Xenopus tropicalis: one gene and its partners. The protein of the gene in region 1 interacts with the protein of each later gene in a pairwise test. Links are inferred from orthologs where the notes say so. Each region holds a gene or a part of one and is shown in the gene's direction. Other genes may lie near its edges.

Region 1 (3,754 bases):
AAGAAACTTTGGCCAATGTAGTGCTGCATATTCCTTTCCACCAATAAGTCACTTTATTGCCAGTGGGAAAGCATTTTAGGGAGTAGGCAGTTAACTTATCTATATGTTTTTGGTGTGTGAGATGGAACTGGACTAGCCAGAGCTACTCCAGACACAGAAAGAACATACCAACTCCTTGCATGCTCAAACTGGTTTTGAATACAGGATCCCAGCACTGCAAGGCAGTCCACTAAGCCACCATGAATTAAGCTTTTGTTGATGCTGGGGTTTCTGCAAAATGTGTAAACAATTTCTGATAGACTGGCTCTATACACTATTACCCCGACTTCTATTCAAGTAGAGTCTTATATTCTGTTACCAAAAGAATCAAAACATTTGCTACCTGCCTAACATTACATTCAGAGGGTGTTAATATGAAGTTGCTTTTTTTTCTGCTAATATAATAGTGAAGTCATATGGTTTTATTCAAGGTGTCCTACTTTCAGGCCTTATAGCATAGTCTGACTCCAGTTTCATTTCTTGTCTCGCCAGCTGTATGGGGTGGGGTGAAGCTGAAACCTCATCATGCTAACACGACTGTTCGTTTCTTACGTCTTGTTGGTTTTCAATGTCTTCTATGCTCGCTACAGGCAGTGCATAGAAGACATACTGAAACACTTAAGCATTGTTCCTTGGGCTAAAATGAACATTCTGACTACACACACCAACAAGCGTGATTACATCATTATACATGAGAGGAATAACGAGTCCCGTTACAACTACATCTCCCATGAGCCTGTGGGCTGTCGCAATGACGTCAGCGGAAGCGGATGCCGCGCTCTCACTTGTGCGTGACAGGGGGATCCGGTGGCACGCAGAGAGTTGGAGGCTGCACGCATTATAAGACAGGATGGCCGGGCTGCCTCGCAGGATAATCAAGGTAATTGGCGGCTTGTAGCTAGTGAAGTAGTAGCGATTGCTTTACGTTATGTCTTGGGCTTAGATCAGCGGCATTGATCCGAATGAATGGAGACAAGGCCCGGGAATGTCCCCGCCCTCCAGCCCGCTTCAACATGGCACCCGCCGGGTGGTACTGGGCCTGTAGTGATGTCTGATGGGGTTGAGGGTCCGGGGTCGCTATGTGTGCGCGCCTTGTATAGGAAACCACCCCAACGGGGATATGGGGACAACGTTATTTTTTGTGCTTGAAGTAAAACCTTGTGCCGACCACACCCACGCCATTTGCTTGTAGTCTGTTAGCGTTAAGGCTACATAAGGGTACAGATATGGGGGGGGGGGTATATAGGAATGAGTTACACTGTAGCACATAGGGTGACTCCCCCAGACACTGCATGCCATTACTAATACGTGTGCTTAGTGTTTAGGAGCTATATCGCATTTTACTGCATCAATTGACGGCAGAGGTGTCGGCAGTAGACCATTTTATATATAGGTAGGCTATTGATTAGTAAGGAGGGTATATTTCATCTTGGCTCACTATTTATTGCACCTCATTTAGTTAAATTGGGAGCCAAATAGTTCTGCTTGTCACTGTACCCCAATGTATTCTACATTTTTACATGGCTGTTGGTTGAGCCATGCTAAGGGGGATTTTACCCTTACTAAATACTAGCGCAGAGCTGCTTCTAGGTAAGTGTTACGTTTTTCTGGGGTATCCAGGTGACTTTGGAACAACTCACGAACCACTAATTAATTTAGGATCCTTTAAGCACCATATTATAATTCGTAATTACTGTTCTTCAGTGGCGTTTTCGGTCAGGTAAAGGTTATGGAGACCCAACCTAAGTAGCGTGGACGGGGATTCATTGTGGTTCCCCAACACCTAGATTAAGAATTCTTATTCTAGGTAAACTACTTAATGACACACAGAGCTACTAGTTGCAGCCACAAAGTACCAGAAAATACCCTTCTATAGATAATACTGAGAATTGTCTCTGCTGAAACACATATTGAGAATATTTACTGTTGTCTATTTTGTAGCCACAACAAGTAGCTCCATCTGTCAATGCTCTAAAGAGGCAACCAGGTTCCCTCTTTTGTGGTGTCTCTGCGTAATGTGCAGTCTCTCAGAAGACCTGTTCTTGTCCCAGCAGCTTGTGATAGGTTATATTTTGCCACAGGATTCACTATTAGCTTTTCAGAACTTCAGCCACAACATTTATTTGTGGAACGCATGGCATATACTTTATTCTGAAGTTGCATCATCCCTTTAAGTCAAATAAAGATACAGTTGAATGTCATATGATGTGAGGCACTGAAGGAAGCAGATATCTGTCCTTTAAATCTTCATGCTAAATGGTTGGGTAACTTAGGTTGATAGTATTGCCATTTACAGTGGTTGGGAAATTGGCCTATGAATATCAATATTGGACTAGGTACTGTGCTGAAGCCCAGATTTTACTTAAATTCTAATTAAATATTTTAAATGTTCATTTTTTGGGATGTCTGCCTCTGCTAAGCTCTATCTGCTTCACTTTTTTATGTGAATCAGTGACAACCATCTTCTATATTGTCAGCAGTGTTTCCACATTTCCTGTCTAAATTATATCATATATTATGCAAGATACTTTTAACCAGTATTTGAACCTTTTTTCCAACCTCACATGTATAATTAAATATTTTTGCTGGACTTCTTACATACATCTGATATACAAAGAAAACATTTCGCAAAATACACGGATGAAATGGAAGAAGTTTGTGGCTGGATGTGATGAGATTGAAAAATATAGCACACTCTTGCTTTCAATATAGTAGCTATTTAAGTGCATCGCTGTAACACATGCAGAAAAACTGGCATATAAACCATGCACCAAAGTGGTATATGTAGTTTAATTCAGCAGGAACAGATCACCAGCACTTCCTGTCATGATTCCAGCTTACACCACTTTAATTTCTAAAGCTAATTGCTGGCAACCTGTCAAAATGCTGCACTGAGTGCTGGGAGAGAGATGTTGGTGATGGTGTAGACAGCATCACTAAATAAAATCAAACGGTTAAAATCATTTGGCTTAAAAAGCCCTTAGATGTTTTGTTTTAATGCATATTATCATTTAATGCATATTTGTTGTAAAAGTTTTTGGTTTGTTTTGCTGTTGCAGTTAAAATGAAACCGTATTTTACATGTAAAATATTTATTTGAAGCTACACAGCAAATCTGAATCTCACTATGGCTTCCTTGGAGTATTTCTAACATACATAAGATAACATGCAGTGAAATAATGTGCCATCAATTGGGTGTTGACCCTTGGCAACAATATAGATATTGCCTGCATGCATTTTATTTTCCATTCAACGTTTATAAATTGTCTAATGCAATTATCATGATCTTCTGATATGTCTAACATAAGAAAGCTTCAGTTTTCTTATTAGCGAATCAAGTGGAAAGTCTGGTTTGATCTTGTCAAGGATCCATGTTTGTTCCTTGCTATCTGTGGTATTCTCAAAAGTTATTACTAACTCGAGTTCAAAGGCATCAGTACATTTACTGGCCTGCTTCTTTATTTTTCAGTTTTATTCACTATTACATACCATTTTTTCATGATATTTCTTGTCCTGATTTCTATTTCAGTTTATAGCTAGTTCACATGATTTTGCTCTTTTTTTTTTAGTTACCCTACCTGCCTACTGAAGATCTTTCCCACAACCATTCCTTATGGGAAAGATTAAGCCTTTTACTGTGTTGAATATTTATAGAACCTGTTGACAAAATGTAAATGCAGTTAGACCAAGTTGCAATTGTTTGATGTGTCAGAGT
Region 2 (3,754 bases), on another chromosome or scaffold:
GGGTGCATGTGTGACAGTCTTTGCTTGCATAGTGAGACTTGTGACCAATCAAGTTAGCACTTACTGACACACAACATATAAACGCCAAACATAAGCAGCCTTAGAATCAGGGCCACCATCGGAACTCACAGGGCTCCTGACTGGACTCTCCCTGTGCCCACTGATTATGGCCCTGCTTAGATCATCTCTCTCTGGTGTCTTATCTGAACTACAGCTTGGCTCCTGGTTATCATAGGGAATGGTAGGAACTGTAGTTTAGCAATGACTAGAGGGATACAGGTATACGATTACTGAGGAAGATGAAAGTATTCTACGCGGAATATGAATTTTCTGTGTGCTGTTTGTACATTTTTGCACTTTAATAGTTTTCCTGTTTCTAAGGTCTCTCTCCTCCTAGAAACCAGGCAGTGGCTTAAATAGCCATAGTAAGACATAGTATCCCTGGCAGCCAGTTGCCAGTTGATATGGTGCTGTAATCCCATTGCTTGAGGCTGAGAATAGACTTGCACCCTATCAATCTGCTTTCTGATTCTCAGGGTCACTGTCCCCCAGGACTACACAGCATTGTCCAGTTTGTGGAAAAACACTTATAAACATAGAAAGAGGGCCGCTCTGGCATTCCTACATATCTATTATGATTTCCCTCAATGTGCCCCCATGTCTGTATCTGAGGCTGCTACTTGGCCTGTAAAGTTGGTATTTGATGCCAATGATCTTAATAGGGAAGAAAGGCAACATCTATAGGAAGGATGGATTTCCCCCCAACAGTATCAATACTAAAGCCTTTTTTATTAGTGGGGGGCTTGTGCACTCCCACTGGGCCCTCTGTTTTCCTGGGTCTTTTGAGGTGGCAGGGTCTGTTGCCCCTATTGCCCCCATGGCCTGTAATGTACAGCTTTAGGGTAATGGCACAGAAGAGGATATTTTGTTCCCCAAGCGATTTCCAGTTCAGTATGTGGCAAATAAAATGATCAAAATTATCCCCATTATTTTCTATGACAATCACCTGAACCCACAAAATTGCTGTCTGCCTGATTTTCATGCTACAGTCACATGGCCCCCTTGTCTAGGTAATTGCCATGGAAATGAATGGGGGTGATTCCAAGCATTTTTACCATTAGTCTGTACAGCCCGCTTTGTGTCTCCCACTGACCTCTTTGGTTTGTATGTCATTAATTATGTTAATATTTTCTTTTCAGCCCATCTACTACTAACTGTCCATTTTATTTTGAAACTGCATTATGGTTAAGGGGTAGTTAAGCTCTAGCAACCAGGCAGCAGCTGCAATTCTAAGTGTGAGAGTTTCTGATCAAATACATTTTTAAAATAATGGTTAATTGCATATTGTGTTGGAATGCTGCTGTCTCTGTGACATAAAAAGTTAAGTTTAAGCTGAACTGTTTGTTTGATCAGAATGGTATTGTTCTTTCTCCTTCCAGGTTGGATCTGGCTAAACTTTATATGGAAGATAAGGGCAAAGGATCACAGGTGCTTGATGGGAAAGCAAGAGCTTTTCATATTTTAATCCTGAGTGAGAAGGAGCCATGTGAGCAATTGTTTGATGCTTGGGCCGTGCAGCGCAGGAGGAGTTCAGTGCAACACCCCTAGCAGACTGTACCAACATGCCCCCTGCAGGTAAGTACAAGTACAAACACCCTGGCACCTCACTCATCAGGACTTGTGCAAAAATCTAATTGAAACATGTTTTATTAAACATTTCACTAACATAGGGTGACCTTCCTTTGTGCCCCTTTGGATTGTTACCATATGTGACTGAAACGCTGGTGTGACAATCCCACATTGGTGTGTGTTTAAGCGACGCTTTTGCTCACATGGGATGGTGGGAATTGTAGTTCATCAAGAGATGAGGCCATTTTACATGCTTCTAATTCCCATTTCCGTACTGTAGTTCTATTGACCATCCAGTCGCCAGTTAGGGTGAGATGTGGCGTAAGTGCTTATATGCTGCCCTTTAAATGTAAATATGAAGCCCATTCAGACTTTCCATATTGTACGGTTTGATTCCATACAATGAAAATGGATCTACATTGGATTTTTCCGTTTTAATTGACATCATATACTGAACAATTTAAAGGGACAAAGTATTTTTTATTTGCCTTCCTCTTCTACATTATTCCAGATTTAAAATGGGGGTCACTGACCCTGATAGCTAAAATACTATTGTTCTGTGAGCTTACAGTGTTATTATTATTATTATTTTTTATTACTTATCTATCTTTTCACAGGATTCTGGCACAGGATTCTGCCTGAAAATGCAGCAGCACATGTGCTGAATCCACATCCTGTGTGGCCAATTAGCAATTAATTTAGACTCATGCTGCAGACTAAACAGATTTTTGTTCAGTCATGCAGCATGCATCTAAAATAATAATGCTAACTAGCCATGCAGGATGTGGATTGTTAGAATTCATTGTTAGAAATACCCAAGGAAACAGGTTAAACCTAGCTAAGGGCGGGATGCATGGAGTGTTTCCTAATTATGTATGAATAATTTGCAATGTATTTTTCAGTTAGTTTGTATTTATTATATTATTACAAGTAAAGGAATGGGATTCATTATCTGGAAACCTGTTATTCAGAAAGCTCCAAATTACAGGAAGGCCATCTCCTGACTAATATAGTGAGTTGCTTCTACCCAGCATTCCCTGCGCTGTCCCACCTACAACATGCTTCCTGGGATTGCTGTTCTACCGACACAGAGTGAGCTGCACTATTGCGCTGCTACCGGCAGAGGGAGCCTTCTTCCTTGCTAAGCGAGCTTGTGAATGTGTGACTTCCCAACGTGCCAGGGAGTGGGAGTGAAGATGGATCGATCCTGGAAGTAACTGCACTGCCTGTTACTCTTCTATGTCACCCCCTCCCTCTCTATCAGAGATACACCATCTGAGAGTCTCTGCCGCTCTGTGCACTGGATCCTGTCCTCCTCTTGGCACAGACACAGGCAACTGGCAGCCTGCCCCTTAGTTGGCAGAGACTTGATCCCTTCCTGGATTTTGGAAATTGCAATGGATGTCTGGGCACCCTGGCACAGAGCACAGGATCCGTTCCTCTATGAGTGCGGCACCGTGGATCCCTTGCCCTGCTGTGTGTGATTATTGCACTGGATGTTGCTATTATTAGAGCCTGGCACAGGGCACTGATCCCATGCTGGCAGCTTTTGGGCTATGCACATGTACCCAGAGCCAGCTGTGTGCTGCTGCTGCCTGCCAGTCACTTTGCACCTCCTGCTTGCTGCACTGTGTTGTCTCCAGCCCATCAGCTCTGGGACAGGCATATGGGCACTAGCACTGGGCATGGGAGTGACAGCTCTGTGCTTGCTCCGACTCAGTAGCTCTGGATTTGGCCATTACCCTGTATAGCAGCTCTGATACCCCCCTGGGCAGCCAAGCCAGCACCTGTCTGCCTCTCTCATTGGACCCATCGCTGCTTCTCTGTGACTGACTGCGCCTTGCACCCTCTCTCCATAGAAGATGGGCAGCTGCTGGGAAAGTTACGGGTAATCCATGATGTGCATGTGTGTAACTGGGGAGGAGATAGACAGACAGCAGGGGCATGGGGTGGGGGGGGGGTTCTAGCCACATTACAGGAGGGTACATGCTTGACGTGGGTTAGTGCTGCTTGGGGCATCACATTGGCTCCGAGCCTGGGCATATTAATAAGGGCTATACACTTATAGGTCCATTTCTCTCAATGCAATGTCATGAGATCTGTCGGTATATTATCTGGCGTGCCT
Region 3 (3,754 bases), on another chromosome or scaffold:
CTGGATGGTAACTATGAAAGCATTATTCACACCTGCCCTTTTGTGCTGCACATCGCATGTCTAGAGCTGCAAGCTGGAACTGGAACGCAAGAACACATAATGGAAGACAAAAGCAACACATTAAGCTAAATTAGGCCCTGGCACAAAAATTGGAAGCTAATGGTGCCTAACAATGTATAGTATATATAAATATCATAAAGAAATGCAGTGTGTATGTACAGGGAGTATTGCATAGGAAATATACAGTGTAGAGGTTATAAAAGGTGAATATTTAAAATGCTTGTAAGGGCGGTACAGACAAATAATGAATATACTTATTAAGGAGGATGTGGGCTGAATTAAGTAGTCACCAAGCCAACTGCCCCTGGGGATGCCCAGAGCTAAGGCTCAACAGGTTGGAGCAGCAGGTTGCTTGGTAACAGAGCGGATGGGTTCCAGGCATTACAGAAAGGCATATCTATCATATATATATATATATATCTATATCTATATATACATATGCACCTACATCTGCTGGACAAGATAATGGTATTCAATGATGAACCTGCGACCCCCACAGCTACTGCTACAAATCCCACAACCTTCTTCTGACAATGAGGAGGTGTGAGTTGCATTATAATAGCAGCTGGAGGGGTAACTAAAAATGACACATTTTCTCAGAAAGGGCCCTATAGTCTGTGAGCCTTGTGCGAATGCCCTCCATGTCTTCTCTAAAACAGACCCTGCTCGGTGAGGCGGAACGCGCGTAGGAGCTGCCATCCACTGTAATGGAAATTAAAGCGATGAAATGGAAAGAAATGGGGACGTGGAGCAACAGAGCAGAAGCCAAACGGCGGCAGCAGCCAAGGAGACGGGCTAATAATGAATGTAGGAACACGCGGAGACAGTGGAGGACACGGAGCTTTGAGAAGAGACGTGAGGGGCGGGATATACTGTGACAGACAGCAGGGAGGGCGAATGGCACTCCGGGATAGGAGGGAAACCAGGCCAAGGAGCTTTGTACTTGAGGAAAGAATAACAACAGAGCGCAAGTCTTTCATAACAAGGAGGGAGGACTGCCGTCTGGCTGACAGGAGGGGCGGCCCAGGCTCCATGCGTCCCTGCACACACACCGTGCATTCCTGTCAGCGCACATACACGCACGGGTAACCTTGCTGGCACTGCGGCACTGGGATGTGAGGCCGGGCACCGCTCATGGAAAGTTTGTAGCCCTGCTGCTTGTGGGCAAACAAGCTGTGTGTATTGTGTGCGCTGTGGCGGCAGCCAGGCACCTGGGCGCTGGGAACAGGGGGGCGCCCTATGGATGTTGCGCTCAGCGGGGAGCGAAGGGGCATGTGACACGCGGAAGGACACCTCCAGGGCCGACCTGTGACAGGAATGTACAATGTGCCCGGATAGGTGACACCACGGGAGAGCATTGTGTACAAACAGCGGGGGGCTGGGGTTACTTGGCCCGTACACACCTGTACCTGCCGAAGAGCTGCTAAGCCTGCCGGATACAATGCCCCCTGCGCTTGGTGTCGGGTGTGTGCCCAGAGGGGAAGAAAGGGACGGCCAAGCTTGGTATTAGTCTGGCGCTGTATGAGCGGCTCATGTATGGGCAAGGTTGGCCAATAGTGTGCAACACACCCGGATCTGACTGGCACTTAACTCAGGACTAAGCGCCTTCGCTCAGCACAAGGACACTTGCCCCTCACCCCCCGGTGGATGCTGAACCAGCCGGGTGTGTGTCGGGGATGGGTGGGCGGCAGAGCAGCAGTCCGGCAGCGGACGGTCGAACAAGGGCTTATTCTGGATCGGATATCCCTACTAATACGGCCCGGGGGCCTTACAGGGGCCCTTCTGGTGTCGCCTCTTCCTCCTCGTCCCCTATAGCCAGATACTCCTATGTTTCAAGTGGGCAGGCGGCAGCGGGCAGTGCCGGGAGAGGGGCGAGCGGCACGGAGAGCACTCAGCCAGCAGCATTGGCTTCCAGGAGCCGCTCTGTGGGGGGGATACGGAGCCAAGCCCCGCTTAGTATTCCCGGGGCAGCCCGGGACTCTGGCAGCAGCACACCCGAGGAAGGATCCCGGGAAAGGGCACCTGGGGGGCGCGAATCTAGGTTAATGATTGGATCTTTACCTGCTCACCTCTCCCCACACCTCTTTGGCGGTGAGTATTCTGACATCATGTGAGTGACGTGAAAGCACTTGCCTTACGCTTGTCCTTCCATTCCGACTTGTGCTACATTAGTGGGGAGCTAGAATTAGACTTTCCCTAGTTGTTCTTGAGTTGTTCTCAGACAACCAAATGAGGATGCGAGAAAACTGCTGGCAACTTTAAGGGTGAAGACACACAGCGACAAGTAGCAGCTACTTGTCATGGCTCCAAAAATAGACAATGCTAAACATTTACTGATAACTGTCTCTGTTTTGTTTGGCAATTCTCTGTTTGACAATACTCAGTATTGTCTATGGCAGGGTATTTTCTGGCATTTAGTAGCTGTGACAATTAGCTGCTACTAAGGGCTCTGGCACACGGGGATATTAGTCGCCCGCGACAAAACTCCCTGTTCGCGGGCGACTAATATCCCCGAGTTGCCACGACCCGCCATCCCGCCGGCGAACATGTAAGTCACCGGCGGGATGAAAAAGACTCGCAAGGCTTTTTCGGCGATTTCGGGAAATCGCGCCGCCACGTGTGCCATCCCGCCGGCGACTTACATGTTCGCCGGTGGGATGGCGGGTCATGGCAACTTGGAGAGATTAGTCGCCCGTGACAAGGGAGATTTGTCACGGGCGACTAATCTCCCCGTGTGCCAGAGCCCTAAGTAGCTCTGTGTGTCTTCACCCTAATTCAGCAACAGCTGGGGTAGAAAGAAATGACCACTAAATGCTGTGATGGTAAAGGCTTAATACTGTGGTATTGCAAAAGTGTCAGGCGGTTTTGTTTATGTAATGTAGGAAGTGGCAGCAGTTAGTTGTATTGGTGCCAGTGGAATTTTTAATGGTACGAGGAAACCAGAGAAGCCCAGTAAATGGTTAAGCAGGCAGCAAAGTTAATGATTTCATATTTTACTGAAATTAGATCACAGCTCAAAAATTTGCTTATCGTATATGAGGCACTGAACATTTAAATACACTTTGTGTGGCTTATGAGATAAGTTCTTGTTTCTCTGAAAGGCCTGAGTACATGATGCACGGCATGGCTAAATCTGTCATAAGCACTGTTTCTTCCGCATCGTTCTCAATTCACTGTAACCACTAACAGAAGACACCGTTGCAGCCAAACAAAGATTGAGTGATTTAATGTCGTTTTCAATTGCATAAGCTGTAGCATGAACATAAAAATAGGAATAACTTAAATATTGATACCTTTTGACAGACCCTTTTTTGCATTCACACATTCAAGTCTTTAGGCTAATACTAGTGGTATAAGCTATTAATGCATTTTAATACTCATATTACCTCCTCTCTGTACAGCACAAAACCAATGTCAAACAAGCGTGTGGCTGTCATGTTTATGCTTTGTTATGTAGCTAAAAGCCTGAGTATTTATACACATAAAGCATCCGACATGTACAAGAGTAGTGTACATGTAGAAGGACTGTACAAGATTGTGTGATAGCTTACAATAATTCAGGCCCACTGGTATAGCATTGATTATTTGAGGAAGGAAGCCCTGTAACAAGCACTTGACCTTAAAGAGGTACTTTACCTTTAAGTTAATTTTTTAGTTTATCATAGAATGGTCAGTTCTTACCAAAATTTCATTT

The links.
Region 2: the proteins of ube2n (region 1) and mid2 interact in a two-hybrid assay, tested with the Homo sapiens proteins (2 studies listed by BioGRID). The link is inferred for Xenopus tropicalis from reciprocal best matches to the Homo sapiens genes UBE2N and MID2.
Region 3: the proteins of ube2n (region 1) and znrf2 interact in a two-hybrid assay, tested with the Homo sapiens proteins (4 studies listed by BioGRID). The link is inferred for Xenopus tropicalis from reciprocal best matches to the Homo sapiens genes UBE2N and ZNRF2.

Annotation. Positions count from the first base shown.
Region 1 is NC_030679.2:56,096,385-56,100,138, reverse strand, and holds the start of ube2n (ubiquitin-conjugating enzyme E2 N), read left to right. Parts: upstream 1-871; 5' UTR 872-889; coding exon 890-919; intron 920-3,754. UniProt on the Homo sapiens protein: The UBE2V1-UBE2N and UBE2V2-UBE2N heterodimers catalyze the synthesis of non-canonical 'Lys-63'-linked polyubiquitin chains. This type of polyubiquitination does not lead to protein degradation by the proteasome.
Region 2 is NC_030684.2:40,404,155-40,407,908, reverse strand, and holds the start of mid2 (probable E3 ubiquitin-protein ligase MID2), read left to right. Parts: upstream 1-1,302; 5' UTR 1,303-1,635; intron 1,636-2,603; exon of another isoform or gene 2,604-3,517; intron 3,518-3,754. UniProt on the Homo sapiens protein: E3 ubiquitin ligase that plays a role in microtubule stabilization. Mediates the 'Lys-48'-linked polyubiquitination of LRRK2 to drive its localization to microtubules and its proteasomal degradation in neurons.
Region 3 is NC_030682.2:51,420,666-51,424,419, reverse strand, and holds the start of znrf2 (E3 ubiquitin-protein ligase ZNRF2), read left to right. Parts: upstream 1-1,032; 5' UTR 1,033-1,736; coding exon 1,737-2,151; intron 2,152-3,754. UniProt on the Homo sapiens protein: E3 ubiquitin-protein ligase that plays a role in the establishment and maintenance of neuronal transmission and plasticity. Ubiquitinates the Na(+)/K(+) ATPase alpha-1 subunit/ATP1A1 and thereby influences its endocytosis and/or degradation.